Linked DNA regions of Drosophila melanogaster. The protein of the gene in region 1 purifies or fractionates together with the protein of each later gene. This does not show direct contact. Each region holds a gene or a part of one and is shown in the gene's direction. Other genes may lie near its edges.

Region 1 (8,173 bases):
GAAAATAAAATAGAATTAAGAATATGGTTTTGTTATTTGTAGTAAAAAGGTGATAACGAGTTTTGGATTTCAAATGTTATGGAGTTATTGAAATAAAAATAAAATATGGTGGAAACCTTTTACTTTTTATAAATGACGTTCATTTTGAAATTGAAAAAAAAGAAAAGAAAACGATTTTTTTTTTAAATATCCGGTTTGGTATATCTGGTATTATTTATGGTTCGCGAGGTATATCGGTATATTTTAGTGGTCGATCTACGGTCACGCTGAAATATTTGTACACAATAAAAACCGGCTCGTTTTTTCGCTGAAAAAGGTAATAAACTAAAGTTAATGAACGCAAACGAAACAATCGGTGAAGTTAATCGACAAATGAGATGCATAATCCCGCGTTGCATTTTGGTGGATACAGAAATAGGCCAGAAATCGCGATTTCCACACCGCACCCATGACGTGTCACTCGCCCACTTCGTTTCTAATCAATTAGTTTGTTTTTATCCATAGAACGTGTTACTGTCTGCAAAATGATCACCGACGTGCAATTGGCCATTTTCTCCAACGTTCTGGGCGTATTTCTGTTCCTGCTGGTGGTTGCCTATCATTATATTAATGCCAATACCGGAAAGTAAGTAATCCCACTTGGTGAAGAAGAGGAAGAAGACAGCCCGGAATCAACAATAAAACCGATTTTCATTTATTTACAGGCCCAGTGCCAAGGCAAAATGATGTAGGATGTTTCCGCTAACAGACTAATATAGTTCTACCAGGATAATGATAATGCTGCTTCATTCGCAAAATAAATATGTAGTTGTACAAATCTAATCCAGGATGTCGTTAATGGCCTCCTTCATGGCCTGGACATCGTCCAGTGTTTTGCCAGATCTCTGATCTTTGCCTGTGTAGAAACTCCTCTGCGTTTGATGTCCAAAGCTGAAGGCCTTGACGTAGGGCAAACTTTTAGTTTCCTCTATCACCTCGTCCACCTCCATGGAATTGGGTTTGCTTTTGCCTTGATGCTTCTGTTTGCCCCTATTCTTGCTATGATCAAAGCGATAGTTTGCCGGAAGCTTGTGCGTTATGATGCAGTGATCCTTGCGCTGCCGGGCAGTATGAAACTTGATGGTGCACTCTTCCAGAAAGCAGGAAAACATGGGCTTGTCACCGCGCTCCACGCTGGCGGCAAAATAGCAATCGTGCTGTTCGGTGATGTGCAGATCCAGTAGATGGGCAGTGGGCAGCATTTTTCGGCATTCTACGCAGCTGTAGCTCTGCTCCTTATCTATGTTGTCCCTGATCCTAGCTGCCGCCGCATCCTGCTCGCCCAAGATGTCATCGATGTCCACGAGAACGCCGAGTTTCTTGAAGGGCGCCAAACTGGGTGCAGGCGGATCCGTGGGCTTTATGAATCCCGCTGGCACTTCGCTTAGTATCCTGATGATTTGCTCTCTGGAGAGAAGTGCTACTCCCGCAGCTTCCGAATCCATTTTGTTTGTGTTGCCAAAATGTTTTGTTTTGGTTCCTACGCCAGTTTCAACATGTTTCCACTGTACTGCCTCTTGGAAGATGTGATTTTGTTTAATTTATATAAAAATTAAAAATAATTTCCTTTTGAATTGAAATAGTAATACAATTTTTGAAGTGCATACGTAAAATAGACATAATTAATGAATTGAAATACTCGCTCATATTTTAGATGGATATATTTCTATATTAAACAACTGCAATTAAGTTGAAACATCTTAAATGCCTTTGAAATGATGCCACATCGCCAGACTTAGTTACGCGGGCTGGCATCGCCGTGCAGCACATGTGAACCTAAACTGGTTCCGCCCGAGAACCGGTTCTTTTTGGAATACGAAGCTGACACCGCGTGGTGTTTTTGCTTTCGATTCCGCATTTATTTTCCTTTCGACGCGTGGAAAATAAACAAATCCTGCCAAGATGAGTCTGTACAACTTCAAAAAGATCATGGTGGTTCCGCCAGCAAAGGTAAGGTGTACCCAGCAGCGCCCGTCCCGCGGAGCACCCCTTGAAGCAAAGACATAACCTCACTGGAGGTGTTTACCAATATGCGCAATATGTAAATAATATTTTATTTTTTGCCCTTTCCACAGGACTTCATCGACATTATGCTGTCGAAGACACAGCGCAAGACCCCGACGGTGGTCCACAAGGGCTACAAAATATCCAGAATCCGGGCATTCTACACGCGCAAGGTGAAGTACACGCAGCAGAACTTCCACGATCGCTTGTCGCAGATCATTCAGGACTTTCCCAAACTGGACGACGTGCATCCTTTCTACGCCGACTTGATGAACGTGCTGTACGACAAGGATCATTACAAGCTGGCGCTGGGTCAACTCAACACAGCCAGGCATTTGGTGGACAAGTGAGTGCCAAAGTCACAGATCCCCAAACGAACAAGGTTCGATTAACTATTCTATTTTTTATCCCGCAGTGTGGCCAAGGACTACGTGCGCCTGCTGAAGTACGGTGACTCGCTGTATCGCTGCAAACAGTTGAAGAAAGCTGCCCTGGGTCGCATGGCCACCATTATGAAGCGACAGGCCTCCAATCTGACGTATCTGGAGCAAGTGCGTCAGCATCTCTCGCGTCTGCCCACCATCGATCCCTATTCGCGTACCATCATCATCTGCGGTTTCCCCAACGTGGGCAAGTCCTCGTTCATCAACAAGATCACCCGCGCCGATGTGGAAGTGCAGCCCTACGCCTTCACCACGAAATCCCTGTACGTGGGACACACAGACTACAAATATCTGCGCTGGCAGGTCATTGACACACCCGGCATCCTGGATCATCCCCTGGAAGAGCGCAATGTGATCGAAATGCAAGCCATTACTGCCTTGGCTCATTTGCGCGCCTGCGTCCTGTACTTCATGGATATCTCCGAGCAGTGCGGACACTCCTTGGAGGAACAGGTCAAGCTGTTCGAGAGCATCAAGCCTTTGTTTACAAACAAACCCCTCATCCTGGCCATCAACAAGATCGATATTCTAACACCAGAGGATCTGCCAGAGGAGCGACGAGCGATTATCACCAAACTACAGGAGGACAAGAACATTCCCGTAATGCTCATGTCCACCGTACAGGAAACCGGTGTCATGGAGGTGAAAACCGAGGCATGTGAGCGTTTGCTCTCGTACCGTGTTGACCAGAAGATGCGCACAAAGAAGGTGGACAACATCCTGAACCGCTTGCATGTGGCGATGCCAGCGCCGCGAGATGACAAACTTCGTGCACCCTGCATCCCAGAAAAGGCCTCGGCGCGCCTGCTACAGAATGCCGACAAGGCAGAGCGCAAGCGCAAGCTGGAGAAGGAGATCGAGGAGGAGATGGGCGACGACTACACGCTGGACCTCAAGAAGAACTACAGCGAAATCCCCGAGGAGGAGCGCTACGACATTATTCCAGAGTTCTGGCAGGGTCACAACATTGCCGACTACATCGATGCCGACATCTTCGACAAGCTGGAGGAGCTGGAGCGCGAGGAGGGACTGCGGGAGGAGAGCGGCGTCTACAAGGTGCCCGATATGACCATGGACGAGACGCTCAAGGAGATCCGCGAGATAGCCAAGCAAATCCGTGGCAAGCGCTTCGAGCTGCGCGACGAAAAGCGACTGTCGTCGCGAAAGAACAAGCCAGTCATCCCACGAAACAAGCAGCCCAAGGTGCGTGACCGTTCCGTACAGAAACTGGTGTCGACGATGGAGGGCCTCGGTGTGGACATGTCCGGCAGCGAGAACGCCAACTTCACCAAGTCCGTGGTGGATCTGCGTCGTGGCCAGGTGGCAGTTGGCTCCAAGAAGGTGCCCATGCAGCCGCTGCTCGACAAGGAGTCCTCTGCGGTGGTCAGGAAGACTGGTCAGCCTCTGAAGCGGGCGCCGTCGCGCGACACACTGGGCATCAAGAACTTGGCCATTCGCAAGAAGGCGCAAATTATGGCCAAGCGGGATATTGCCAAGAAGGTCACAAGCAGGGGTCTCAAGGGCGAGGCGGATCGCTTCATCGGCACCAAGATGCCGAAGCATTTGTTCTCCGGCAAGCGTGGAAATGGCAAGACGGATCGCCGTTAAGCGCCGCAGCCTTGGCTGGTTAAGTGATTCTACCTGGTGGGCTCGCCTGCTCCTCTGTATAAACTAAGCGTCTATCTTTATCCCTGAAAAACATTTTCAATACAATATTGTATTTTTACAAACAAATTGTTTATTTTTCGGGGACCACACATCACACACTCAGTAAACTTTGGTGGAATTTTTGTATCATAAAAAGCAAAGAGCCTTGACTTCTGGAAAAGTTTATATAAAGAGAGAGACCTGAAAAGCATGTGCATTACTATTGTCTTTAGCACAAACAAAGTTTACCCCCATGGATATTTGCTCGTTTCTTACTTCACCTTGGCAACGTGGAAGTTTGTTTGGTTTTTACCAATTTTCTTGTCCAATGAGTAAAAGTTGTTCGGCACAGCAACATCATGTCCAAAGCCACCACAATTAAGGAGGCTCTGAAGCGCTGGGAGGAGCGGGAGCAGCAAAATTCCCTGACTGCCAAGGTTATTGATCTGCAATTCCAGTGGCCACCCATCGAGAAAATGGACAGCACATTGGGTACGCTGGTGCAGTGCGAGTGAGCTTAAAAGTTCTTAGTTCTTCGAGGAAAATGAACTCCTACTTTTCTGTTTCCCCTGCAGGAGAATCAGTATGTCCACGAATATGATTGAGAAGATATTCGGCTTATCGGGCATGAAGTGCCTCAAGGTATTGTCCTTATCACGGAACTACATTAAGCAGATATCCGGGCTGGTAAGGACGAATTAGATAGGTTCCATTAGCACATCATTTGCTTCTCTTATGTAGGAAGCGGTGGCTGAAACTCTGGAGGAGCTGTGGCTCAGCTACAACCTAATCGAGAAAATTAAGGGTTTGACTGGTCTGAAATGCCTGAAGGTGCTCTATATAAGCAACAATTTGATCAAGGACTGGTCGGAATTCAATCGCCTGGCCGAGATCGAATCTCTCGAAGATCTAGTGGTGGTAGGAAATCCCCTATCCGAGGGATTGGACGAGCCCACTTGGCGGGCGGAGTGCATCAAGAGGCTGCCCACCATCCGCAAACTGGACGGAGAACCAGTCGTGCTCAACGAGGAGCCGCAGCTTTAAGTCTGATGGCCATTCGGTTTATATGGATGACGGAGAGATTGGGTTTTCCATGCGAACTTTCATAGCAGAAAACAAAAAAAAAAATCTTGAAAAATACACAACATGTACTATTTTAGAAATCAGTTTCGTCTTTAGATTTTTATTTAAAATATTAGTTTATCTAACTGGTCAGTTGGACTAGTAAGTATTGCGGCCTTAGGAGGATTCAAATGTCTGCAATGAATTGTAAATTATTCATTAAAGGATTCATTTTTAGAGAATACTAATTAAATCTAACCTCTTGGGCGATTTTCAGCAGTCCCTCGTAGCTGGCTCGACCCGACTGATTGACCAAGTTGTGGAATACCTTGGAATCCGATTTGGTCATCAGTTCATAGGGCGATCCAAACTCCACAACACGTCCAGCATCCATAACCATCACCTTGTCGGAATCGATGATGGTGTGCAATCGATGGGCTATTGTCAAAACAGTGCAATCCCTGAACTTGCTGCGAATGGTGGCTTGGATGAGGCCATCCGTTTGAGGATCCACATTGGCCGTTGCCTCGTCCATAACAAGGATGCGATTCTCTCGCAGAATGGCTCTGGCCAGGCAGACCAACTGGCGCTGACCCACACTGAAATTGGTTCCGCCCTCGCTGATTTTGCTGGCCAGGCCATCGGGCAGATCGGACACCACCTCCTTCAGTTTCACCTCCTCCAGACAGCCCCACAGCTTCTCATCGCTGTACTCGTCGAAGGGATCCAAATTGTATCGCATGGTACCGGAGAATAGCACAGGCTCTTGGGGTATAATCGAGATCTGTCGGCGCAGATCGTGCAGACCCATCTGTCGTGTGTCCCTCGTGTCTATAAGCACGGATCCATCGGTGTAGGATAGCCGGAAGAGGGCGTTAATGAGCGAGGATTTACCCGCTCCAGTTCGGCCGACTATGCCCACTTTTTCCCTGGGCTGTATGACGAAGCTGAGCGACTTGAGCACATTCTCTGCCTTGGCATTCGGTGTGTAGCGAAGGTTTAGTTCCTTAAAGATGATCTCACCCTGTTCTGGCCACGTCTTGGGTGGCTTCTTGTCGTCCGGAGCTTCCAACATTCCTTCCGGCTCAATGCTCTCGTACTCTACCACTCGTTCCACGGCTGTCATGGTGTTCTCCAGCTCGGCGGTTTGACGTACTCCCCACTGAACCATATCGATCAGTCCCATGGCCTGTGGGTAACCAAAAGGTGATTGGCAGGTGATAGTGACTGCTTTAGTGTAATGGCTTACCTGTGTTATGACCAGACCAACATCAGCTCCGTTGCCCGGAGGAAAGGCAAAGAAACTAAGCGTTATGATCGATATATAAATCACGCATATGCAGTTCATACAATAACCAAATGCCTGCGATGTACTTATGTACATGAAAAATGCAGAGCTGTGCGCATCCTGGTAGCTGTCGAACTCCTTCTCCAGAACGCGCTGGGCATCCAAGGCTCGGATGGTGGTTAGGCCATTCAGTGAAGCAGCCAAATGCGAGTAAACTGGTGATCGATCTGTACAAATACTAAGTTTCTATCGATACTGAATGCATTCAATGTAAGGAATTCGTACTTATAGCTTCTACGCGCTTCAAGTCCCTCGAGGTTTTCAGATATAAGTTGCGCAGATGATAGAAAATTACGGACAGCATGAGTGTTGGAACCAACAGCAGCGGGTTGACATTGGCTATAACGATGATTATTCCGGCTAGCCAAAGCGCAATCTGCATCACATCCACCAGAACCACGGGAAGGACCTCGTCTACTTGGCTCATGTCCTTGGTAAAACGATTTAGAATGCTTCCATGCTTATTAATGCTAAAGAAATGCATGTCAGCTCGAGTAACTCTATTGAAGATGGTGTTGTGCAGTCGAATAGATGCTTTTTTGGCGATATTGAATAACAGAAATGACGACGACAAATTCATGATAACTGACAATATTATGATCAGTGTGTATTTGTATACATCCATGCTTTTCGATTCCATATCCTCCATTTCGCCATGGCCAGCAGCAGTGCTCTCCTTCTTGACCCTTGAAAATATAAGGAGTTTATACCAATTAGGCTTAATCAGACCTGTTATACCAACTTACCAGTAAGTAAGGAAGTAGTCACCACCAGTTACAGCCACCTGGGCCAACACAGAGCTGCTCAGCATGACAAGGAAAGCCACCAATCCACCTCCCGCCTGGAAATACTTCCTGTACAGAGCCAAACTAATGCCACCTGATTCCTGGCGCTCCACGTGCTCCTTTCCCGAGCTGGAACCTCCGACGGTCTGCTCGGAGTTTTCCTTGATGGGAGTTACTTCGTTTTTATTGTCGGGAGAATTAAGGTTCAATGGTTCTTGCTCCTCTGTCTTTGCTTTATCTGTCTTTGATAGACTTCCCAGACCAGTGATAAGGCCCGTTTTGAGTAGCGACTCATAGTCGCCCAGTGCTTTGATCTGTCCATTCGCCAAGATCACAATCTGATCGACGTGCGGAAGGAACTGCTCTTGGTGGGTAACCAGAACTACGGTGCTTCCGCGTAGATGACCCCGCACGCACTGATCGAAGAGATGACGTGCTACGCTGGCGTCTACTGCGCTCAGTGGATCATCCAGGAGGTAGATGGACGCCTTCCGGTATACACTTCTCGCCAAACTGATCCTGGCCTTCTGCCCACCCGACAGGGTTGCTCCGCGCTCTCCAACTATAGTATTATCCCTTAAGGGAAGCAGATCGAAATCCCGCTCCAGGGCGCACTTCTTTACAACCTCTTCGTACCGCTGGCTATCCATCGGTTGGCCAAATAGAATATTCTGGCGGACAGTGCCGGAGAAGAGCCACGACTCCTGGGAGGTGTAAGACAAGGAGCCATTTACTTGCAACTGGCCGGAATTCGCTTTCAGCTCGCCGAGAATAGCCTGGATGAGACTAGATTTTCCAGATCCAGTCAGTCCGATTACAGCCACCACACTGCCGGGTTTAATCTC
Region 2 (7,591 bases), on another chromosome or scaffold:
GTTTCCAAAGGTCACCGCCACGGCCAGCGAACTGAGCATCTCCGGCTTGTTTACCACGGCGAAATAGGCCAAGTTGACCAGAACATAGATGCTCGTGACCAGGGGCATGGCTATCCAAATGGCGCGCGGCAGATTCCTGCGCAATGAGAAAACAAAGAAACCGAGATCAGTTTTATACAAAACAAAAACTTCTAACTACTGTTTTTGCAAATAACTACTATCTTTAATAGTTGACTATGATGTTTCATTCGGAACTAAAACATTAAAAAGCTTTCAGGTAAAATAAGAGATATCTTATCACTTTCGATGACCGTTGATATAGAAAACATTTACCTTATACTCGAAAAAATCATAATTGGTTTGTAATAACTAGAAACATCAGAACTAAAACTAATCTACGGGCTTTACTGCGCATAAGAATTGAGTTTCCTACTTGAAATTTGTTTCAGTGTGTCAAAGAACGTGCTATTCAGCGAGAAAGCCACTTGGCTGTGCAGGGAGCGTAGCACTTAAATTGATTGCAAATTGAATTCGTTAGGGATGAGGCAGCATCCCCCACCCACTGGGTGGTATTCTAGGAGGAATGACATCAAGGACACTCAACAAGTTTCCACTTGTTGCTGCCTGCGCATGACGCACAAGGAATGAATGAGGCAAATAAACCCAGCCCAACCCAACCATTTATCCTTGTCACCACTACTCACTTGTATGGATCCTGTAGCTCCTCCGTCACAAAGTTTAAGTAGTTCCAGCCACCAAAGGCAAACAGACCGGAGTAGAAGGCGTAGCCAATGTTGCGGGCCGTGTAGATACCCTCCCACGGATTTCTGAAGTTCTCCAGCTCGCCAGTGGCCATGTAGTACAGTCCGGACAGGATAATCATGATGAGGGCCAGCAGCTTGCCCACCGTGAACACATCCTGCACTTTCATGGACACCTTCACCGACAGGCAATTGATTGTGGTGAGCAGAGCTGGGAGAGTGGGAGTTTCAATTAATTAACATTGAGTGGATTGTTTAACCAACTTACTTAGACATATGGCAGCCAGCAGTTTCACCGCATTCTGTGGGGGATCGCATTCCGGAAAGAATGGCTTGACCGCATAATGGGCAAAAGATAGAGCCACAATGGTCTAAAAAAAAAAATAAAACAATGTATTCATACTATAAATCCCACATGCCATTTGTTTCTAGCGGAGAAAGCTGTCCTACTCGTAATTGAATTCAATTCCGGTCGAAGGTAGCCGCCCATTAATAAATTTCTATTTATTTGCATCAACAACCCATCGATCAATCAAGCCAAATAAGTAAACATTCCGTAATTCAATTGATGAGTACTATAGGAACTGACCTGCGTGGTTGGCCGGATGATGAGCAGTGCGATCCAGAGGCGAAGGAATCCCACCAGCGGTCCAAAGGACACCAGCAGGTAGGCGTAATCCCCGCCAGATCTTGTGATGCATGTGCCCAGTTCCGCGTAGCACAGAGCTCCGATCGTCGATAAAATGCCGCAAGTCAGCCAAATCAAAAGGGAGCTTCCCACGGATCTGAAATGATTTAAAGTAGTCATCGAATCAATAAACAATTTGAATGAAAATAAACACTCGTAAACAAATATGGTCAGGGAATACATACATATATATATATATAAAGCAATAAAAATTATAAATATAGATCTAATATTAACTCGGTGGCAAATATTTGTAAGCAATAATAGTAAAATGGTATTTAAACAAAACATCTAAAAAAAACAAGTGCTGGGGATTAGCTTTCATTTCGATAAAATACTTTTATGAATTTAACTTCCTGGAATTTTTCGCAGCCGCCTTAAGCTTATGACGCACACCTTTTTTTGTGGCTCTTATCAATAATTTAAATGTTTGGCGCGCCTTATTGACGTTATTCTTGTGACTGGAGACAATTCGCTTAAAAAAAAAAAACACTTTAAAAAGCTGACGCAATATGTGGGCAGAATTTCAAGGTTGAATCTTTGAGGGAAAATCGAGAACTAATAAATGTATCTTAATTGGTGCTAAAGGAATGCCTGCGACAATCTATCCATTAATTAACAGCTAAATTGACCTTTTTTGTGCATAAATTGAATTAAGGAGGATGCTCTGTATCACCACTCACTCGGTGTAAATAAAGACTCCCGTGGGAGCAATGAAGATGCCCGATCCAATGATGGTGCCCACTATGATGGCCACTCCATTGATGAGTGTTAGCTTCCGCTTGAGGACAATCTTCTCCTCGCCATCAGCGGGATTTGGATTACCCGGCGCGGCGCATCCATTTGTGGGCTCGACCAGGCTGGTGGTCACTCCATTGGCATATCGGTCCGTCATGATGTCTGCACTGTGGGATTCTTCTGCTTACCCTCTTCTAATGGCGAATAGCGCACATTGTCACTGGAATGAAGGGTAAAAGTTGAAATGTAGAAAAAAAAGCCTTCATTACTATCAGCAAATGGGGCGCGAGCACGTGTTGCGCAAATTGTAAACAAATGCTATAGTGCTGATTTTAGTTACTAATTGCTAGTGAAGAAGACCCGATTTTTGCCTCGCTGGCAGCTAACTAATCTCCCATTGTCAGGCATAAACTTGAATGTTTCCCCGACGCCACTATCTTCGATACACGAAATTTAGCTTTAAAGTAGGGTGATTTTTGGGGTTGGCATGTTGTGGTGTGTAGCTGCCTAATGGGGAGCTCCACTTTTATGGTGACGCCTTTGCCGCGTGCCAATTTCCACGATTTCGTCATCACCTTACGACGCGTGGCAATGAATTTTGCAGTTGCAGAGTTGCAGTTTTTCTGGCAATTGCTCGATTGCTTTTATTCGCTTCTTTTTTTTTTTGTTGGTTATTCGCAAGGTTTGGAATGCAGTTTGGCTGATTAATTTCGGTTTATCTTGTTCCCAGCGACTTTGCACGTAAAACACGATTTATTTTACCTCGAGAGCGCGGACACAACAAAACGGCTTTGACTGCGAACAGCGACTGTGCGTTGGCATCGAGACCGGCATTTTCATACTAAAATTAACGCAATTTTCACCCTAAAACGCAGTGAGAGAGTGAGAGCAGCAAACGGAGAGAGAAACAGAGAGAGAGAGAGAATGAGTGTAAAGAAAAAAAATGAGAAATGAGTGCTCAAAACCGGAAATTAATGTCAAATGGTTACTTACAAGAAGAAAACATTAAAGCTGTCCTCTTGAATGCTAGCTAATGCTAAATTTATCTTATGGCATAACTATTAAGCATAGTTTTCAGTTGAATAATACAATTTCTTAAATGTTCCCGCCAAAAATTTCAAATTTGTTAGCTATTCACCACGAAACGCGCTCAGCTGTTGCACACATCACTTATCGATAGCAAAGCACTTATCGCTCCGCGCCCACCTCTATCCTTTTTAGTTATTGTTTTGGTGCTTGCACGTGTTTTAATTTACTTCGATTAAAAAGCCAAATACCAGCAATGTCAGACAAGTGAGTGATTGAAAAACTATAAAAATGTGTTGACCCTAAACATTATCTTATACTTTTGATCCCTAGATATGCGGTGCCCAACAAATTGCCCGGCAAAACAGTGTCGGTGCTAAAGCATCGCAAGAGGAGAATTCTGCAGGATGAATCTGTTGTTACGCAGAAAAGAAATGACCGCATCAAAAAGAGAACCGCCACCAAGAATCACCACAAATTCCGCCGTGCCGAATCCTTCGTAATGGGCTACCTGAAAGCAGAGCGCACGTCCAAGCGGATCAAGCAAACCATTCTGCGCACCAATGTCACCGAACAAAGTGCCAAAGCTGCCGACGATTCCAATCCCAAACTGCTCTTCGTGATGCGCCATGCGGGCAAGAAGATCTTCGACAAGACCACCGCGGATATATTCCGAACCCTGCGCATGGGCTCGCGCCACAACGCCGTCTTCATGGAGAACACCAAGGAGAACCAGTTGCTGCTGCGCGTTATCGAACCCTTTGTAGTCTACGGCAATCCCTCGCTGAGCTCCATTCGCGAGCTGGTCTTCAAGAAGGGCTTCGCCCGCATCGACGGCAAGAAGACGGCCATCCAGTCGAACACCATGGTGGAGCAACAGCTGGGCGACAAGGGTGTCATCTGTCTGGAGGATATAATCCACGAAATTTGCACAGTGGGTCCAAACTTCGCCGCTGTAAATGAGTTTCTGTGCGCCTTCACGGTTGGTTAACAACTTCTCTTTTGCAATTCTTAAAACTATACTATTACCGCCATTTGGTTTTTTCCAGTTGTCCAGTCCCAGCAATGGTTGGCAAAAGAAGGTATCCGTCTCGTACAAACGCGGTGGCGAGTACGGCGATCGTGGCACTGCCATCAACGAACTGATTGCCCGCTGCCTGTAGAGACCCTAGCCTAGTAAACCCTTAAGTGATTGTTCAACCTCTATAACCCATTCTGTAGCTAAGCCCAATACACATCTATATACAAACGTATTCTATTTGAGCGTACTTATTTAACGAAGAAAATAGATGGTCAGGTCAGCACTATCGTGAGTTTACTGTATGCCTATAAAAGCAATCCTGCGACTATTAAGGAACCACATGAAACTGTCTCTAACGACATTCCTCATTATTCTACATGTTTATCAACATGATAAACTTCACCCACGAAACAAGTTCTTTGCTTCTTGGCCTTGCGTGTCCCAGCCGAGTTCCCAAATTGAACAAACCAGAGAATCAACTTTCTGCCTCGAATAATAAATAAGTCATAACCGAGGTGGCTCCTCGCAAACGAAAGGTATGCCAAACTGAACTACTTGTTGCCATGAAGGAGGAACTGTTGTTTTTCGATTAGTCGGAGTCAGTGCCACTAACCTAGTGCAACTCGGGTCGTCGTATCTTTTGTTCGGATAAAACTCCAGGGACTACACATTGGAATTCAAAATCCTTAGATTCAATTAATTCTCAATGAATTCAAGTTTCAACAGCGAGCAGTTGGACACCGACCGCGATGGACTGCAAAAAATTCTGGCCCGATCTCTCAAGGAACCCATTCTTGGCAAGCACTTTGCCCTGCCTGGCCGCATAGAGCAGAGTCCACCCATCGAACTGGACACCAGCCAGAGCTACATTGCCGTCTACACTCATCTCAAAGTGCACGCCACCATGATGCCGGAGAGATTGCCCACGCCGGAGGCAATCGGACGAATACAGGCGGAGAACTTGGAGGCAGCGCCCAAGGCACGAAGTTCAAAGACCCGCTTGGATCCCTGCTCAAATATAAATTAAATTACGTTGGGCATCAATAAAGAAAGTATTGTTATTTTATCTTTTGGTATCCCTTAAATTTAGTAAAAGAATATTAAAATTTTTTTTTTTATTTTATTAAATATACATGTTCATAATCCTTGTAGGCATAAGCTTCACATCAAATTCGTGTTGAATACATCCTCCTATCGGTGCAGATCTTAGTATCCTTTTTCTTGAAAGTAATTAATATGATGCTTTTCGTAGGTTGTTTAAATCGCTACTAGGTTGATAAGTATAAGACAATTAATGGGACCGCATGTGGTGCTTTAACAATCAATATTGGGTTCATTCTTGAATCCATAAAAATCATGAGAGAAATGTAAAATAACCAAGTGTTTATGTGTCATCCTCACTCCTAATTCTGCAGGATACGCACGGCGTTGTACATCTGGCCAATGATGGGCAGCTGCTTGGACTCGCGCCGGCAAAGGTATTTGTAGGCATGCGACAACAGCCTGTCCAGGGCAGCCACATCGATCTCGTCGGGCTTGGTGGCCGCGATCTGAATGTTGTTCTCCGTCATCGGTTCCTTCTGCGTAAGCGGCGTGAGAAATGGATCAGTACTGCGAATGATATATGCGCTTGCAGCACTTACCAGGTTGTCTAGGTAGGCCAGCAACTGGTGGCCAACAGAGGCAATCTTCAGGAACGTGGACTGCGAGCTCTGTGCGTAAAGATTAAGTCTACGGCCAGCGATCTCCAGCAGCAGTCGGCCCAGCTCCTCGTCATCGCTGATGTCCTGGAGCAACACTTGAGCCTCCGCATCATACCCAAAAGCGTACAGTTCCACCACCTGGAGGAGGGAAAAATATTTGGAATATATTTTCTATTCCATTGTGTTTCCTCTGTTGTGCTCTCTACGGAGCAAACTAACGAACTGATGTTGAAAGGCAAAAGGGATTGTAAGCTCCCTGTCATGTGTGTTCATGGGTTCCTAGATTAGGAATTCTGGGATCATATATGTATGTACATTCTTACCTGCCGTCGTAGGATAGGAAGTTTATCGACCTCCCAACTGTCGGCTAAGGCACAGATCTTGCCCATGTAGAAAACATGATCGAGAATGTACAGCTGCTCCAAATCCTCTCTAATCAGATCCATGGTAGCGGTGACAAGGCGACACAGGAACTCAGTGCGCTGCTGTTGCAGGACAAGATCTGGTGCAGGCAAAACATAAGGCAGTTCCTTATTGATGTCCGCCAGCAGAGCTTTGTTGCTCATGGAGTCAAAAAGCGTGGTCAGTGGTTTTGGAATGCGCAGCTGGAAAAAGGAAACGAAGTGCAGCACGCTGCACAGTTCTGTTTGAAGACGGAGCAGCTGCGGCATGGCATGGTGCTGCTGGAGAGCCAGAAACTGCAATGGCAGGGCTCCTTCGCTGAGCGACTGCTCGAAGTGCAGTTCACGCTTATCGTGCTCCATGGAAGCGGTGAAATGCTGCAGGAATTCGAGGCTGAGTTCTAGAAACTCTGGCACTTTACCCGCAGACATCTCGAGATCTTGCTGGCACATCTTGTCCACTGGCAGGCGTCCCACTTTTTGAATAAGCTTCGCCGCCGCCTGTAGAGGAAACTTCAGGGTGGCATTCCACAGCATGCAACATATTCCATGCTTCAGGGCCCAGTCAGGTGTACGGAATTGGTTTAAACAAAGTAATGCTGCCTTTAGGTGGTCCAGCGATGAGAGCTGCTTGCTCCACTGGACCATGTACTGCCACGACATGAGACTTAAGAGGACGCCCGATTCCAAGCTGAAGGGAAAATGCGCACGCAGCAGAGCCAATCTTTCAAGAATAGGTTCATGGGCTTCTTTACTCGCCGCGTACACTTCCTTTGCCATTTCCAAATCCTCTTCTGATTCCGCGTCTTCATCGACTGACTCCTTGGTAGGCTCATCCTTTATCTTAACTTTGCTCTCGTCGTCTAACTCGTTTTCGGGAGGCGATATCTCCAAAACTTTACTCGGATGCAATTGTGCACTGATCAGCCACTTGGCTGTCAGTTCGGTGACGATGCCTTTGCCACTGCTCACAATGCTTTTGAGACTGCAGTCCGGTGGCTCGTAGGACATCTCTGGACCAACAGGATCCCGGCAGATGAGAGGCTTACTGCGAAGGAAGCAGTGGTTCATAAAGGAGCTAAGTGGAACGATTGATTTGGCACTTACCTTAGTATGGCTCCTAGCACGGCCACATCCTCTAGCTTGCCAGTGAGCAATCCCCACTGAGCCTCATCGTGGGAGATACGCTCCCAGCGCTCATCATCTTCGTTCTGCGAGGATTCATCACAAGATCCCTAAGGAAAAAGTGTTTT
Region 3 (7,577 bases), on another chromosome or scaffold:
CACTTCTTCCTCCGCACCTCCAAGTTCGATGTGGAACGGGCCAAAAAGAAACTGAAAACGTTCTACCAAATGCGGGCGGAGCGCACCGAATGGTTCGATAATCGCGATCCCCAATTGCCCGAGATCCAGGACCTACTCAAGCTGGGCGTCTTCCTACCCATCGGTCCGGATGCCGAACAAAGGATGGTGGTGGTCATACGCACAGCAGCACACGATCCCAAGCTCCACAGCCAGAACAATGTTTTTAAAGTGAGTCATGGAAATATGTACACAGGAAAAAATAAAATACAACGATTTTATGAAATGTCTTAAACTATATGTAGCTAACAAATTAAACATAGTCATGAAGGCGAACTTTTCGTGCTTTAATAAAAAATAACTTAACATTTTAATAATATGAAATACGATAAGTTTCGTCCACATTTTTTCCTCCATATACTTATATCTCCAACCTTTGTTTCCCAGACCAGCAAAATGATATTGGACCTGCTGCTAAAGCTCGATCCGGAGACCTGTGCCCGCGGAATGGTGGCTATTCTGGATATGCAGGGCGTTCAACTGGGGCACGCTCTTCAAATGAATCCGAAGCTCATCAAGAGATCCGTGGAAAGCTGGACCGCATATCCATGTCAGCCCAAGCTATTGGAATTCACCAACGCCCCGCGCCATGTGAACTTCTTTTTGAACACCTTTAGGTGGGTTGTATGTTCTAAGTCAAATTAGAATTTACTATATATTATCATTTTTTTTAGAATATTCATGACGCCCAAGATAAGATCGCGACTTTTCGTGCGTCGTGAAGGAACATCCGTGAGCTGCGATCAGTTGCCAAAGGAACTCGGTGGTCAGGGATTAAGCTATATGGAGCTGTCTGTGAAGTGGAAGCAGTTGGTCGAGGAGAACGCCGATTTCTATGTGGAACAAGACAAATACAAAAGCAAGCTCAAGTGATTGGGGTTAGTGTGGCGGCAGTGATAACAAGGCGATTAGCCGAATGTTATAGATTAGTCGAAAACATTTACAATGCGCAAATGCACAAAGGCGCATATCAGTTGTCATATTTTATGGAAGGGTACTACAAATACTCCCTAATTCCCCACTTAACCATATTTGTATATATTATAAGTCATTACGTTAAACCTTTTTAAAAAAGGTTATTTTCGTTGTGTTAATCATCAATGTTATCTTTTTTTTTTTGCTTAATAAAGTGTCAATACACGATAAACCAAACAAAAAAGAGACGAGTTTATTCATAATATTCTCTTTATTAGTATAAAACGTATCAAAAATGTTTATCAAGTCTACAATTATTATCAGTTATTGGGTGCTGCCGACCGTCGCCTCAAATTGCTGGGGTTTGCATTACAAAATCGCTTGATCCGCTGAACCGCGAGCAATTAGCGATAGTTTAATAGTAATAAATACATAGAATACATACAGAAAGAAAAACGATAAACAAGGAAACACGCATAGTTTGTGAACGTAATATTTGTTGTTTCTCGAAAGCGGGAGGTGTTAGTTATAAAAGGCGTGCTGTTGCTTTTGCTGCTTTTGTTTTCTCCTTTACATATACATATAAATATGATTTATACGTTTTTACGTTTCACATATAAAAATATAGTAGTTGCTCTGGATCAGCAATTAGCCCGCTATAGTTCGGTTCACATTGCCAATTGGCGGTTTTTTGTTTTCTTTTGTTTAGTGGGAGGCACCCCATGAAGCAATGAACGAAACATAAAAGTATTGGCGGTAACTAACTAAAGCGTAATACACGAGTCTGCCAGAGCGCTTTCATCACAAGTCCAACTGCAAGCGCAGACCACCACCACCGCCGCCGGAATCGCGAAAATTCGCGGCTCCATGCAGTGATTCCTATATCTGCCGCTCATCCTTAGCCGTCAGCTTGTCGATGAGCTCCTGCAGCGGGGCCAGTTCGCGCCGCTCAATCAGATTGAACTCCTGCACGAAGAAGATGAAGTGCTTGAAGGACGTGTTGAGATGGGCCTCCTCGCCAAGCGTCACCACCTCTGTGAAGTGCTGGTGGTAGATGTGCGCATACACGCGGAACAGACGCTTCAGTATGGTCTTGGCGGAGGAGTGAAAGTTCTTTGGAAACGGCACGCCGATCTTGGAGGGAAACAGGGTCTCGTCGTCCAGCTGATCCTGCACCCAAGTCATCAGATAGTCAATATACTTGGGCGCGCTGCACTTGATGGGCTTCTTTACGGTCAAACCGTCGGCCCAGTGGTACTCGTATTTCGGACCAGCCGACATGATGCCACAGGTCTCCTCGGTGCAGAACTCGGTGATGGTGCCGTACAGCATGTTGATCTGGTTGAAAAAGTCCACGGCTGCGAAGGAGTGGCAATAAGAATTGGTTATCTTTCGCTAGTTACACTATACTAGACTCACTGTTAACGGCCACCCACTCGTTGAGATCCTCGCCATCTGGAAGGGCCACTGCATTGCGCAGGTTTCCCGATCCCAGCGTGGCTGCCGCATGCTTCATGAGATCATATTGGTGTGTGCCTTCCGGGATGTTCTTCTTGGGCTTGAAGGTCTTGCTGGAACGGGAACCGCTGTGGAAAGAGAAAGGCAATAAGTCGCGGCCCCAAACAGCCCCACTCAGTAAAACATAATACAGTAAAGATTCTATAGATTGAAACGTAAGCGACTTCGTTCAATTTACACTCCCTAAAAGAAATATTTCCTTTTTTTTTCTTTTTTTAAATTCACTGAGGAAGAATGCAAGATATCTTTGAAAAGCTATTTTTTAAACACCGCAGACAAAATTAGGGAAGTTCCACTGTACAAGAGGTTGGGGATATCACCCCAAAAAGGGCAAACAAAGCCGGAAAGTCAGATGTGGGGCGGGGTGATCCAAGCTTTCTTTGTGCTCGAAAGGATTGCAGTTGCACTACGTTTTGCCCCCCTGAGAACTTACAACAAGAAGTCCATGGCATGCAATTGCTGTGCTTCGCCTTTCACTGAGCCTCCAATGGAATTTTCCTATGCGTAGACTTTTCCGGCGAGTGCCACACCGCTTTTTCGGCTCTTCTGTGTCGTGTCAGCAGCTTTATTCCGCCGATTTTTACACAATTAGCGCCGAATAATAATTAAAGAAAAGTGACTGGAATTCGCAGCAGGTTTCTTTCTCTGGTCAATTGGGAAATGACAATGATGGTATCTGTATCTGGCCTCCAGTTGGTCGGTCTGTTAACTAGTGCCGTAGCCCAACAGCTGATGCGAGCGGTTCCAGGAAGTGTGCCGAGCCAACTAGTTAATTCTGTTGTGTTTATAAACGCAAAAAATTTGTTATAAATAAAAATAAAATTGCTTTCACACACAGAGACAGTTGATGAAAGTGCGAGAGGGACAACGCGACAGGTTATCAGGCTATCAACGTGGCCAGCCTGTTAAAATAATTCAGTACGGTACTGCGGTATTTTATCTGGTATGTCCCTAACATTTCGCAATCGGCTTGCTATGGTCACACTTGAAGTAAGCACGTGGGAAAACAACTGTAGCAGCATCGTGGGTGTATAAAAATATATATTTCTTAATTAAATCGGCATATATTCGGCATAGACATGGTAAATATTTCAGTGCAATAATCATATATTTGAATTTTCTGCGGGTTGCCCGTGAAATGAAAATGTTTTCCCTGCGAAAACTAACCTACACACGCGGAGCACCCAAAACCACATGTGTCTGCCACCGCATCAGACTGATAATTTTTCATTTCCCCGCCTCCAGTCGAACCTGTATGTGCTGTACGAGCATGCGGCGGGCTTCTCGCTCTTCTCCGTCAAGGAGTTCGAAGAGGTGTCCATGTTCCTGCCCCAGGTGGAGTCCTCGGTGACGGACCTCGCCAAGTTCAACTCAATTGTTAAGCTGGCTGGATTTGCACCTTTCAAGACGGCCATTGCCGCACTGGAAAACATCAATGCCATATCCGAGGGCATAGTGCCGCAGGATCTGCTCTCCTTCTTGGATGACTTCTTTGCCAAGCTGAAGAAGAAGAAGTGCACCCTGGGTATTGCGGATGCCAAGCTGGGAGCTGCAATCACCGAGGCCATTGGCGTCCAGTGCAGTCACTTTGGAGTGGTTCCTGAGATTCTGCGCGGCGTGCGATTCCACTTCGCTAAGCTGGTCAAGGGTAAGCTACCTGCTTTGCAAGGAAAATCCTCTTTGTCTAACTAAAGCCTCCTCCATCCGATGCAGGATTCACCGACAAGTCCGCTGGCGTTGCTCAGCTGGGTCTGGGCCACAGCTACTCGCGTGCCAAGGTCAAGTTCAATGTTCATCGTTCCGACAACATGATCATCCAGTCGATTGCTTTGCTGGATCAGTTGGATAAGGACGTAAATACCTTCTCTATGCGGATACGCGAGTGGTACTCGTATCACTTCCCAGAACTGGTCAAAATCGTTCCCGACAATTACATGTTCGCCAAGGCGGCCAAGTTCATCAAGGATCGCAAGAACCTCACGCAAGACCAGCTGGAGGATCTTGAGAAGATCGTCATGGACTCCGCCAAGGCTCAGGCTATCATTGATGCCGCCAAGATGTCCATGGGCATGGACATCTCCATTGTTGATCTGATGAACATTGAGCTGTTCGCAGAGCGCGTTGTCAAGCTTTCCGAGTACCGAAAGAAACTGTCTACCTACTTGCACAACAAGATGAACTTGGTGGCACCCAATCTGCAGTCTTTGATTGGCGACCAGGTCGGTGCCCGCCTGATATCGCATGCCGGCAGCTTGACTAATCTGGCCAAGTACCCAGCATCTACAGTACAAATCCTGGGTGCCGAGAAGGCGCTCTTCCGTGCTCTAAAGACCCGCTCCAATACGCCCAAGTATGGTCTTATCTATCACTCCTCGTTCATTGGTCGAGCTGGCCTGAAGAACAAGGGTCGCATCTCTCGATTCCTGGCCAACAAGTGCTCCATCGCGTCGCGTATCGATTGCTTCCTGGAACAGCCGACTAGCGTGTTTGGCGAAACTCTTAAGCAACAGGTCGAAGATCGCCTCAAGTTCTACGAGTCCGGCGATGTGCCGCGCAAGAACATTGAGGTAATGAAGGAGGCCATCGAGGCAGCTGGTCAAGAGGCGGCAATCACTGTACAGTCCGAGAAAAAGAAGAAAAAGAAGAAGCGAGCGGCTGAAGACGAGGGCGAGACGAATGGCGCCAGTAATGGAAACGGAGCAGCCGCCGAGGCGGAAAATGGCAATGGCAACGATGATGGAGAGCCAAAGAAGAAGAAGAAAAAGAAGAACAAAAACAAGGAAGCGGTGGAGGCGTAAATGTCTCTGTTACATTCAACTTAGTTTAAGTCCACACTATTATCTTTTACTTACATGCTTCTTTTGTATTTCCTTTGACCCCCTGATGGATCGCATTTCAAATAATAATAAACATATACTTTGGAGGGTATTCCCACCGGAATTTTATGAGTTTGCGTTTTAAATCAAGAGACTATCATAATTATTGGTTTCAATTGTTTTATATTTCATATTTGCTTTACATTCAATTTATATACAGACACATCGTAACGTTAACTATTGCTAAAATTGTTTGATTTTATTACGTGTAGTATTTTGTTTAACAATTTCAATGTTGGATCGCTCAGCCGTCCGTCCGCGCGTTGTGCTAACGAATCCGTTTAGTACAACCATTATTCAACTACTCTGTGTATTGCATTTGATGACGACTTTCAAATTCCGAGTGGACGATCAGGACGGATGTGGAATTAATGGGTTTGATCCGGAAAATTGCATCGGGGGTAAATTGTTTAACAACGAATTTAGAAACAAATTGCACGTGTCGCAAACTTTGTACAGCAAGGGGAAAGGAAAACGTAAATAATATATAGAACTGACAAGTTTAGCGATCGTGGAAATGTGAATGTGAGAGTGGACATTTTGGGTAGTAGGTTGGTTGGGTTAAATTAGGCTAAAAAATATCATTGAAACAAGTCGAATGCCGACGAGCTATTATTGTTATTATTGCTGTGATTCTGCTGCTGCTGCTGGAAAGCTCCAAAGTTGGCAAATGCTGATTGGTTTTGTGGAATGCTTTGCTGCGGTGCCGGAGCCCCAAAAATGTTCGGACTGGTCATTGGCGACAGTCCAGGGAATCCGCCACCCGTCTGCACATTCAGTGGCGCCTTTGCCGGACTGTTGGTCTTCAGGGCATTCATCGAAGGGGCCGGGGCACTGGGCTTGCCCGACTTGCTCATCAGCAGATTGTCCAGGTCAATGTTCATCTTGCCGCCCTTCAGGTCGCCCGACCAGGTGGCGCCCACAGCGGTAGACTGGACACTGGCAGCGGCGGGGACTGCGCCTCCGTTGGTATTATTGTTATTATTGGTCACCGACATGGGCTGGAGCAGATTATTGCCCGTGACGGCGGGAATGGGAGGCATCATATTGTCTGGAAAAAAACAAATGCAATAATAATGTTATTCGGGGTTTCAGTTTTCGTTTTTATTTTGGTTTCACAAAAAGCTGTTTTAAATATGTGGCTTCGATAGAATTGCGAATGCGGCTACTTGGTGATCGGCTAATGAGGTGGTCACTACTCGGAAGCGTTTGCGCAGCAAATCAAGTGCAATTACAGAAGGAAAGAATAGGTTCGTATCTGTTATGTGGCTATTGCCGTTTTGGATTGGTTTACCTAATGAGTCCGTGGCTGCGGAGGCCGCACAATGCCCGGAATATTGAGAAATGCTTTTCAATTCATCATTATTAAGTACATATGTATGTATATATTTGAGAAATAATATTGGATCCAATGTGTGTGTGGTTTGCAATACAAATATGCAGTAGGAGAAAAACAAATAAACAAAAGAAAGTAGTATAAATGAAGTAAATCCATATATGTATACCTGGAATACAATGGCTTCGAGGGCGATAGATATTTAAAAAATAATTCCTAGAACTGTTGTCTTATTTCTAGCAAATACCTAACTCTCGAGTCTATTATTAGTTTATACAATTATAAGAAAATGTTTAAGGACACAGCGTTAACGTTTGTATGAGAATTGATGTAAAGTATGAAGTAATCTTGTATTTAATCATATATATCATATATTAATTCGGAAATATTTCAGTAAAAAATTGTTCGTTTTTCCGTAACAAGAAATATGCTTAGTGTATTTTAAATACAGTTTTAATATTTTAAATCTCTTAAAACTCTATAGGCTGCTTTCAAAACTTTTTGATGGCCAAGTTAGGCAGCCTGTTCCATGGCGGCTGTATCAAAGAGTTTGTAGCAGGTGTCCAAAATGCTTTGGGCCAGTTCACGACACTCCTCCGAAGTCTCTCCGCCCACCAATGGCGATCTTATGAAGTCATTCAGCCAGCGCTGCAGTTCGTTCAATGACTCCGCAAAGTGCTGGGCCAGCACATGAGCTGGTGTGGTTACCAAGGCGATTCCTATTAGCTGCAATGTGGCCGCTCGGACGCGGGCCTCGGCATTGAAACGCACAAAGGCGCATAGGTCAAAGATCTCGCGGGTCATCGCTGGCAACAGTGGACAGTTCTGGGAGCACATAACCAACACGGACATGG
Region 4 (8,683 bases), 3.1 Mb from region 1:
ATACATATATAGTACACCCCACTCATTCCTGGTTGAGCTAAGCCAACTTCCGGTTATGAACCCAGAGCACCTTTCGCATTTGGCATTTGGCATTCGTACTGCAATTCCTATTCCTATTCCCATTCACGTTCACGGTTCAGTTGCTTAGCGCGCACCCCGAACCCATGGACATCCCCCCATCCTTTAGAGCACTCATGGCTAAGTGCAGTGGCGCTGGCATACTCCGTTTTTCAAAATTAGTTGGCAGTGCAAACGAGCAGAGGCCCAAACAAAATGCTTTACTTGTTAGAGGTCATTAACGCTGTCATTGTTTCGCTGCTCGCCTTCCACCGACCATATCCGTGGACAGTGAAAAACTGGAAAAGGTCACCCGCAAGTGCCAACGGATGTGCCGCGGGTTGGCTCATTAAAATCGGATTTTTGACTCAGCCCCCGCTGCACAAACACAATAGATGGAGCACCGAGAGCGTTTAGAGCTGCTCCATTAATGGCCAGTGGATGTGTTCGCACTTGAACGCGCGTCATTTAAACAGCGAATAAGATTAAACCCATAATGGAAATGGTTACACCACATACAAAAGGGCAATTGTCTACGTTGATTTGAAGTATTATTAGATCGCTACTACATATTACTTATTCTCTAAATCGTTTAGGTTTCAAACAAAATTACAATACATACTACAATATTTGATGAGATAGTATGCAGATACATTCGGGTTTTAATGTAATAGGAAGCTTAAAATCATACCCAAATCTAATTGCAATAACCCAATCCATCCATACCAATTTGCCTATTCCAGATAGTGCCACCTATGTGGGCAACACCCTGCGCATCAAGTCAGTGAAGAAGGAGGATCGCGGCACCTACTACTGCGTGGCCGACAATGGAGTGAGCAAGGGCGACAGGCGCAATATCAACGTGGAGGTGGAGTTCGCACCAGTGATCACCGTGCCGCGTCCTCGTTTGGGACAGGCTCTGCAGTACGACATGGACTTGGAGTGCCACATTGAGGCCTATCCGCCACCGGCCATTGTGTGGACCAAGGACGACATCCAGCTGGCCAACAACCAGCACTACAGCATCTCGCACTTCGCCACCGCCGACGAGTATACCGACTCGACGCTCCGTGTGATCACCGTTGAGAAGCGCCAGTACGGAGATTATGTGTGCAAGGCCACCAATCGCTTTGGAGAGGCGGAGGCGCGCGTCAATCTCTTCGAGACGATCATTCCCGTGTGCCCACCGGCCTGTGGACAGGCGTACATCGCCGGAGCCGAGGATGTGTCCGCCACTTCGTTCGCTCTTGTGGGCATCCTGGCGGCGTTGCTCTTCGCCAGATAAGCCAATGGGCCCACGGCCGTCGACTCCAAGCGCTTCAGGTCCAATCCATCAACCAGCCCTCGAATGCATAAAACATATATAAAATAGATATATCGAAAACAAACATCGTGTAACCGCGCAATAGATGTCTCAAACGATTTCGGACACACCAACCCACATCCAGTTCTCAGTTCGTTTTGTAGCTTCTGCTTCCGTTTCCGTATAGTCCAGCCCAATTTTTGTACGTCCAATATTATGTCTTAAGTTAAGTATGATAAGTGAAGGGCCAACGATAACTAGACTATAATTTATTAGCACCCTAGAGCCGAACTCAAACCGAAATTAGACTCCAGCCCAGCCGTAAACGATGCATTTCACCTTGATCCCGTCCGTTTTGCTTTCTGATCTGGCACTGTATATGTTTTAAATATTTTAATCTAAGCAAGATACATCACAAGCATTCCGATTTTGCTTCGACAATTGAGAGGATATTTTATTTTTATTTAATAATAATAAAGTATTTTCGTTACGCAAACCTATCAGCTCGACACACTATTCCCTAAATAATATCTCAACCCCCATAATCGAGGCAAAATCCATATTCGAATAAAAGGCAACAAAAGTTGTGTACATTATTAGCTCATAAGCACAATGAGAAATTCTTTTGAATAACAAGACATTTTTACCCAAATTTTTGTGTGGGTGTGAGTAAAATCAATTTCGACTTTGTAACAAAAAAAAAAAAAGACAAACGAAAAACTAAAATTAACAAAAAAAAATGAATAAAAATATTTAAAAAATTAAAATAACGTTTTTTCATTCTAACAGTACAGGATATTCATATAATTTAAAATTGAAAAGGGCTACAGTATTCACAACACAAATAACGTACTTAATTAGGTGGCGCTCGCATCGAACTTCCATTGGTGGTCATGCGATAGTAGAGATTGAATTCGGACTCGTAGTCCGCGAAACTGCCATTGTTGTATCGTTTACTGGGTGGAACGTAGCGTCGCAATGGATTCTCAAGCAGGAACTGATAGATGCGCTCGGCCTTTTCCAGCTGCAACTGAGTCTTCACCCCAATGGCCATCAGGTTGTCCAGCAATTGGTCAATTTCCTCGTGCTGACGACTCGCCTTCAGTCTCAAATCGTGCGGATCAACTGGGGAGCAGGGTGATACGTTTTCTATCAGACGGATATGAGACAAAATGTCGGAATCGAGCTTACCAATTAACGGCTGCAAATTCAATTTCAACTCAGACGTGTGTGCGGCAATTGCTGACGCCCACAAAATGCGTTTTCGGACTTCCTGCAGAGCGCCGAAGGGTGTTAGCAAATAGCCTGGTGCCAGTTGAACGGTGGAGGCCAACTCCTGGGCCTCGACGATGAGTGGATTGGCCGACAACAGGAAGGAGCTGTCGGAAAAAACATGAACTCTGGATTAATTGGAAATAGCACATTCAGCTAAAGTATGCTCTCACCAGGCGCGCGGCGTACAGCTAAATTTTTCCAGCGGTATTTCCAAAAATGTATTGAATTCCAGCAAATGCGATGGTAGCGTGGCTCCGGATGCAGCCATCAGTGTGGTAGATGCTGCTCCGCCCGGCACTAGCGTTTTGTTGTCAAAACTGCGACGCATCGTTGAGTTTATTGCGCTGCAGTTGCCATCGAACTCCACCTTGGTGCTGGAGAACACACTATCATTGGCCAGGCAAAAACTCTCCGCACCCAACATGGACATATTGCTGACTTTTAGCTTAGTGCTCATCAGCTGGGACTTGGCGTTTTGTTTCTGTGTGGCCGCTTGCATATCGTCCAGCAGGTTCTTCATCATATTTCGCGAAAACAGGATCTTCTCCTTGATCTGTGACAGCTGCACCATATCTTGCTGGATGCGATTGATGCTGGAGTTAATGTCGCCGTATACTTGTTTCACAGAGCCTAGCTTTAGATCGTGATTCTCCAGCTGCTTGGCGCCCGCATCTAGCTCCAGACGCAGTTGCTCAATCTGCTCACGAAGGAATTCGTTTTGGGAGCGATTAAAATTGCGCATGTTGTACTGCACCAGATAGTCGCTAATCAGTTCATCCGCATTTTCCTCGTCGCCCAAACTTATGCCATTAAATCTGTATACCTTTGATTGCAGTTTGTCCACAAAGACGCTGTAGTCTTGGCAAAAGCGTTCCTCCTTCAGTTCCAGCTCCTTTTGGGCCGCGAAATATTTGGCCGCCAGACCCAGCATATCGGCCTTGGTCTTTAGTAACTTGACCTCATAGTTATTCAGCGGTGGCTTATCATTTGTGCATTCGCCTCTGGATTCATTCAGCTTCATGATGTGCTGCAGCTGCTCCTCTTTGATCTTCATTACCACGTTCAGAAGCAGGGAGTTGGGAATATCCGCAAAGGTGCTCCGCATCTGATCCCATAATCGCTGCTTGGCCTCGGCTAAATTGTTCACCGCATTGCCATCGTCACACATTCCATAGAAGGTCTCCAGCTGCTTGAGAGCCTGCTCCACAGCCCTTGTTGCCTGCGCCTCGCTGGCATTTCTAGCACTCAGCTTCACGGGCGTGGTGCCCAAGATTTGGATCTTGTTCTTCAACTCCTGGTCGTAGTTCTTATTCAGCGACTCCAGCTTCAGGTCAAGGATATTGCATTTGGATTCAAGTAGTTGCTTCCGGTTCTCAGCACTGATGGTTTGAATGTCTGTATGGGATTCACCGCATTAAATTGACGTCAAGGTTATCAGTATGTTCACTTTATACCCACTCTTGGTCTTGATGCCGGCAGATAGCTTTTGGTACTCTTTTCGGGCCTCCGTAAGCTGTTGGTTCGCCTTCTCCTTGTGCTTCTTTAGCTCCTGTATTTTTTGGTACCTCTGGAGCTCCGGTGGCTGGAAACTCCTAGAGGCCAGCGGCACCATTTTGTCCTTGTAGCGAGCCACTTGGGCAATCAGCAGGTTCTCGCGCACCTCCCGCACGTAATCCACCGGCTGGATGCGGGATTGCAGCTGGTTCAAAAGTAAACTGGAGCCGGACTTAAAAATTCTGTGAAGCAAAAAGCGGGTTTTAAGTACGGATAGTTGCCGATTTGCCTAACACAGCTGTAACTTACCTTCGGAGTGCATCATCGGTGGGCAGGGCAGTGGGCGGGCAGCCAAGATTAGTGGCCCAGTTCTTAAATTCTGTTATTTTCTCCTGGTATGCCATGATTTGCAACTAATTAAATTTTTCGCAAAAAGGCGCAGTCGTTTGAACCAGCCATTCACCAACACAATCAAATATGGCAGGGTTGTCAACAAACTACTATTCGCATCAAGTTGGCAGCAACTATAACGGTTATTTAAATTAATTTTTCATTTTAAATTACAACTAAAGATCATATCTAATTATTGAATGGATATAATACTTACTTATAAGCAAGAATTCTGTTAATTAGATATATTCCAGATTTTTTTTATTTATGATATTTTTGGATTTACCAATTAGTTTACCAACTCGTTTTTATAGTGCTGAGAAATACGTTTGCTGCTAAACAGCTGGGAGAGCAAGTAGCTAAAATATCTTAATTAAAAAGTTCCACGTGTTTTCCAAATATATATACTAACGTAATCTGTATAAATAAACTGTGTAAGAATCAAGCAAAGTCCGACAAAATAAAATTTAAAGTAATATATAATTTTATTAGTTATTAATATATGTTGAAAAAAAAACATTGTTCATAGCTAGTTAAAAGCTGAAAAGTTGACAGCACTGGCTCAAGCAATTCCCTCTGACCAGTGCTGGAAAACACTCGCTGTCTTTTGAGCGGCGCACGTGGAGCAAAATCGAAGTGCTCACGTTTTTTTTTAAGTTCTGCTCCAAGAAACTGGATAAACTAAGTTAAAAATATGGGTCGGAAGGCTGAATACAGTGAGAAACCGAAAAAGGGACCTGGGCGCAAGGCGCGCAAGCAAGGACCGCCTGTTTTTCGCAAACAATCGTTTGGTGAGAGCTCCTGAATATTACCCTATTCAATGGGTGTTCAATTCAAATGTTTTACTTCACAGCTCCCATGGAAGAGGAGGACAAGAAGCTTTCCCACCGACAGAAGCAGAGGTTCGTTAAGCGAGAGCAAAAGAAAGTAGTCCAGAAGGCCAAACTACAGGAGAAGAGGGCCAAGGGAAAGTTACCACAACCGGCTAAGCGGAAGACGGCCTACAACAGCGACAGCGATCCTGAGGATAATGAAGAGGAACCACAGGTTGCATCCTCCGATGAGGAGGTGCCTCAACTGGTGCCGGCTCCGAAGGGCCAGAAAGCTACAGCTCCCAAGGGTTTTACAGATGATAATGATGCCTGGCTGAAGCCCAAGAAGCAACAGAAGCAGCCAGAAACGGAGTCCGAGGAGGAGGAGGAGGAGGATGAGGAGTCGGAGGAGGACTCCGAAGATGAGTTGGGAGAAGAATGTGAAGAGGAAGAGGAGGGAGACGATGAGGAAGGATTGGAATCTGATGATGATACCGCTCAGGTTGGCAAGCTGGCCGATCTATCCGACGATGATGATGCCAACTCCGACGATGACTTTGACATATCTGGCGAGGAAGATGGTGCTCAGGCAGACAGTGATGAAGAGGAGGATGAGGACGACGACGATGATGATGATGATGATGATGATGACAAGCTGCCCATCGAGCGGGCTAACAAGAAGTTGAAAAAGCGCGAGGCAGAGGAAGCCCAACTGGCCGACGACGAAATGTTGGAAACCGTTGACAAGCAGGATGTTTTCCAGCTACCCGTCGAAGGCGAAGAAACCGAGAAGGACCTAACCCTGCAGGAAGTGCAACAGCGCATAAAGGACGTCAGTCTGGTTCTTTCCGACTTCAAAAGGTATCGTCAAGCGGATAGGTCTCGCGGGGAGTACATCGATTTGCTGCGCAGGGATCTGTGTTTGTATTACAGCTACAACGAATTTTTGATGGAGAAGCTGATGGATATGTTGCCGCTGACAGAGCTAATGGAATATCTGGAGGCCTCAGAGGTTAGTATATTTCATAAAAAATATAGTTACAAGATTAATCATTAAAAATTAACCCCTTTAGATTGCTCGTCCCCTAACCATACGCACCAATACTCTAAAAACACGTCGTAGGGATTTGGCCGGAGCTCTGATCAATCGTGGCGTCAACTTGGATCCCCTTGGTAAATGGACGAAAGTTGGATTGGTTGTCTTTAACTCACAGGTGCCACTGGGTGCAACTCCAGAGTATCTGGCTGGCCACTACATGATCCAGGGCGCCTCTTCGCTGTTGCCTGTAATGGCACTCGCCCCGCAAGAGAACGAACGCATCCTGGACATGTGCTCCGCCCCAGGTGGAAAGGGATCCCACATCGCAAGCATCATGAAGAACACTGGTGTGCTCTTCGCCAACGATTCTAACAGGGATCGCATCAAGGCCATTGTTGCCAATTTCCATCGCCTGGGAATTGTAAATGCAGTGGTCAGCTGCGAGGATGGCACTAAGTTCCGGAATATTATGACTGGCTTTGACCGTGTCCTGCTGGATGCTCCGTGCACTGGAACTGGCGTCGTCTCTAAGGATCCCAGTGTGAAGACCACCAAGTCGGAAGTAGATGTACAAAGGTGCTACAACCTGCAGAGGAAGCTTCTGCTGACTGCCATAGATTGTACGGATGCGAAGTCATCAACTGGCGGCTACATTGTATACTCAACTTGTTCGGTGTTGCCCGAGGAGAACGAATGGGTCATCGACTATGCACTGAAGAAGCGAAATGTCAAACTTGTGCCCACTGGTCTGGACTTCGGCGTGGAGGGCTTTACCAAATTCCGTCAGCATCGGTTCCATCCTAGCTTAAACCTTACCAAGCGCTACTATCCGCACACCCACAACATGGACGGGTTCTACGTGGCCAAGCTCAAGAAATTCTCCAACACCATACCCATAACTAAGGAGCAGCAGGAGGAGGATGAAAAGCAGCTGGATGAGGCCATCGAAGCGGACGCCACTACAGAAGCGGCTGCGGAGTCTGAGGAGGTGGAGGAGGAGGTAGCGTCAAAGGAGAAGGGTCCCCGAAAACTGCTTGGAAAGCGCGCCGGAAAACCCAGTTTCACCGAAATCGAACAGGAACTGAAGAAAAAGAAGCGGGAAGAGAGCAAGACCAAGTATGTGGCCAAGGTGTTTGAGCAGCCTGTCAAAAAGCCAAAGCCAGAAAAGCCAGCAGAGAAGAAAAATGAGAAATCCCAGGCACCGGACAAGCAAACAAATTCAAGCGAGTCACCTTCCAAGTCTGCACCTAAACAAAAACAAACCAATGGGAAAACCACTGTTTCCAATTCAGATGCGAAATCATTCAATAAAAAGAACAAAGGATCGCAACCCAAGGAAAATGGAGCCGGATCACCAGCTAAACCAGATGACAATAAGCCAACAACCAATGGCACAAACTCCCCTAGCAAATCAGCAATTAAGGAAACGAAAACGAAGCCACAGCCGAAAGGAAAACAGTCGCCCAAGGGAAACGCCAAACTGGCCAAGGCGCCGCGAGTGGATATCGACGATGTGCCCATTCTCGAGGGAAAACCCATCAAGAAGCAGAACAAGCTGAAGCAAAAATCCAAACAGATCGGCCAGCTGAAAAAGTCCACGGCGGGTGCGAATGCGGGAAAGAAGCAAAAGTTCAAGAAGTGAACACCTTAGATCCAGTTTTGTTAAGTAGACTATAAGCGTGTGACATATAGTTGGGGTAGTCCCGACGCGATTACCAATTTTATATTGCGAACTGTCTTAGCGAACGATTGAAGATTGAACTACAACAGCGGTGTAATTAAGATTCAATAAACGTTAAGATCGGTTTAATGTACTCACCAAGCGGGTTTATATAGGTGGCAGGCACATTTCATTAGAGGTAATTGCTCTACATTTCAAATGTGAATTCTAGTATTGACCAAGCTGTCACTATCAGCCCCAAAGCTCTATAGGTAGTTCGAAGGTGGCCGAGCTCAGCAGAGCGTTGCGATAATCTGTTGTTTCATTGTGAATCGAGCGAGCTTAATGGGATGTTTACTTTTACTGTGCTCTTGCCTGGTGGCATTATTCATTCCCATCCAGGCAATAGTGGACATCAACGTGGCAACGTCGAACGATATTCACAATAATCTCAATAGAACAACATCACCGTGCACGAATTTCTGGAATTTTGCCTGCGGTCGCTTCTCCAGTGCCTCTAAATATGTGGACAACTTTGAGCGAGTCGAGGATCAGTTCGCCACTGCCATGGTGGAATTCATGGAGAGCCACTTGGGTGAAAACGATACACTGGCACCCCGACTGATAAAGCAAATGCGACAATACTACAAGGC

The links.
Region 2: the proteins of Non1 (region 1) and RpL7-like purify together in Drosophila melanogaster (affinity purification with mass spectrometry, with the first as the bait; one large-scale study listed by BioGRID). This does not show direct contact.
Region 3: the proteins of Non1 (region 1) and Nop56 purify together in Drosophila melanogaster (affinity purification with mass spectrometry, with the first as the bait; one large-scale study listed by BioGRID). This does not show direct contact.
Region 4: the proteins of Non1 (region 1) and CG8545 purify together in Drosophila melanogaster (affinity purification with mass spectrometry, with the first as the bait; one large-scale study listed by BioGRID). This does not show direct contact.

What each region holds. Positions count from the first base shown.
Region 1 is NT_033778.4:9,392,400-9,400,572, reverse strand, and holds Non1 (putative nucleolar protein 1), read left to right. Parts: upstream 1-1,838; 5' UTR 1,839-1,941; coding exon 1,942-1,989; intron 1,990-2,114; coding exon 2,115-2,389; intron 2,390-2,458; coding exon 2,459-4,094; 3' UTR 4,095-4,308; downstream 4,309-8,173. Other genes in the region: CG33774 (uncharacterized protein), read left to right, coding at 525-625, 705-726; l(2)k10201 (lethal (2) k10201), read right to left, coding at 819-1,484; ODA-Dnal1 (outer dynein arm dynein axonemal light chain 1), read left to right, coding at 4,493-4,644, 4,709-4,820, 4,875-5,177; l(2)03659 (lethal (2) 03659), read right to left, coding at 5,373-5,390, 5,455-6,384, 6,445-6,710, 6,769-7,229, 7,290-8,173. UniProt on the Drosophila melanogaster protein: Involved in the biogenesis of the 60S ribosomal subunit. Required for normal assembly of the mitotic spindle. May be involved in both centrosome-dependent and centrosome-independent spindle assembly programs.
Region 2 is NT_033779.5:12,052,953-12,060,543, forward strand, and holds RpL7-like (ribosomal protein L7-like), read left to right. Parts: upstream 1-3,395; 5' UTR 3,396-3,469; coding exon 3,470-3,480; intron 3,481-3,546; coding exon 3,547-4,195; intron 4,196-4,262; coding exon 4,263-4,376; 3' UTR 4,377-4,940; coding exon of another isoform or gene 4,941-5,261; 3' UTR 5,262-5,299; downstream 5,300-7,591. Other genes in the region: JhI-21 (juvenile hormone Inducible-21), read right to left, coding at 1-136, 705-972, 1,030-1,132, 1,351-1,546, 2,133-2,344; CG34164 (uncharacterized protein), read left to right, coding at 4,941-5,261; Rab3-GAP (Rab3 GTPase activating protein), read right to left, coding at 5,638-5,814, 5,878-6,075, 6,261-7,386, 7,446-7,573.
Region 3 is NT_033777.3:22,416,970-22,424,546, reverse strand, and holds Nop56 (Nop56), read left to right. Parts: upstream 1-3,478; 5' UTR 3,479-3,590; coding exon 3,591-3,593; intron 3,594-3,756; coding exon 3,757-4,159; intron 4,160-4,224; coding exon 4,225-5,309; 3' UTR 5,310-5,452; downstream 5,453-7,577. Other genes in the region: pinta (prolonged depolarization afterpotential (PDA) is not apparent), read left to right, coding at 1-249, 466-695, 753-951; mats (mob as tumor suppressor), read right to left, coding at 1,873-2,351, 2,413-2,579, 2,945-2,958; lqfR (liquid facets-Related), read right to left, coding at 7,237-7,577.
Region 4 is NT_033778.4:12,463,540-12,472,222, forward strand, and holds CG8545 (uncharacterized protein), read left to right. Parts: upstream 1-5,111; 5' UTR 5,112-5,213; coding exon 5,214-5,310; intron 5,311-5,372; coding exon 5,373-6,343; intron 6,344-6,404; coding exon 6,405-8,012; 3' UTR 8,013-8,183; downstream 8,184-8,683. Other genes in the region: Lac (lachesin), read left to right, coding at 801-1,342; dgt5 (dim gamma-tubulin 5), read right to left, coding at 2,214-2,485, 2,552-2,739, 2,806-4,030, 4,094-4,371, 4,439-4,533; Nepl10 (Neprilysin-like 10), read left to right, coding at 8,376-8,683.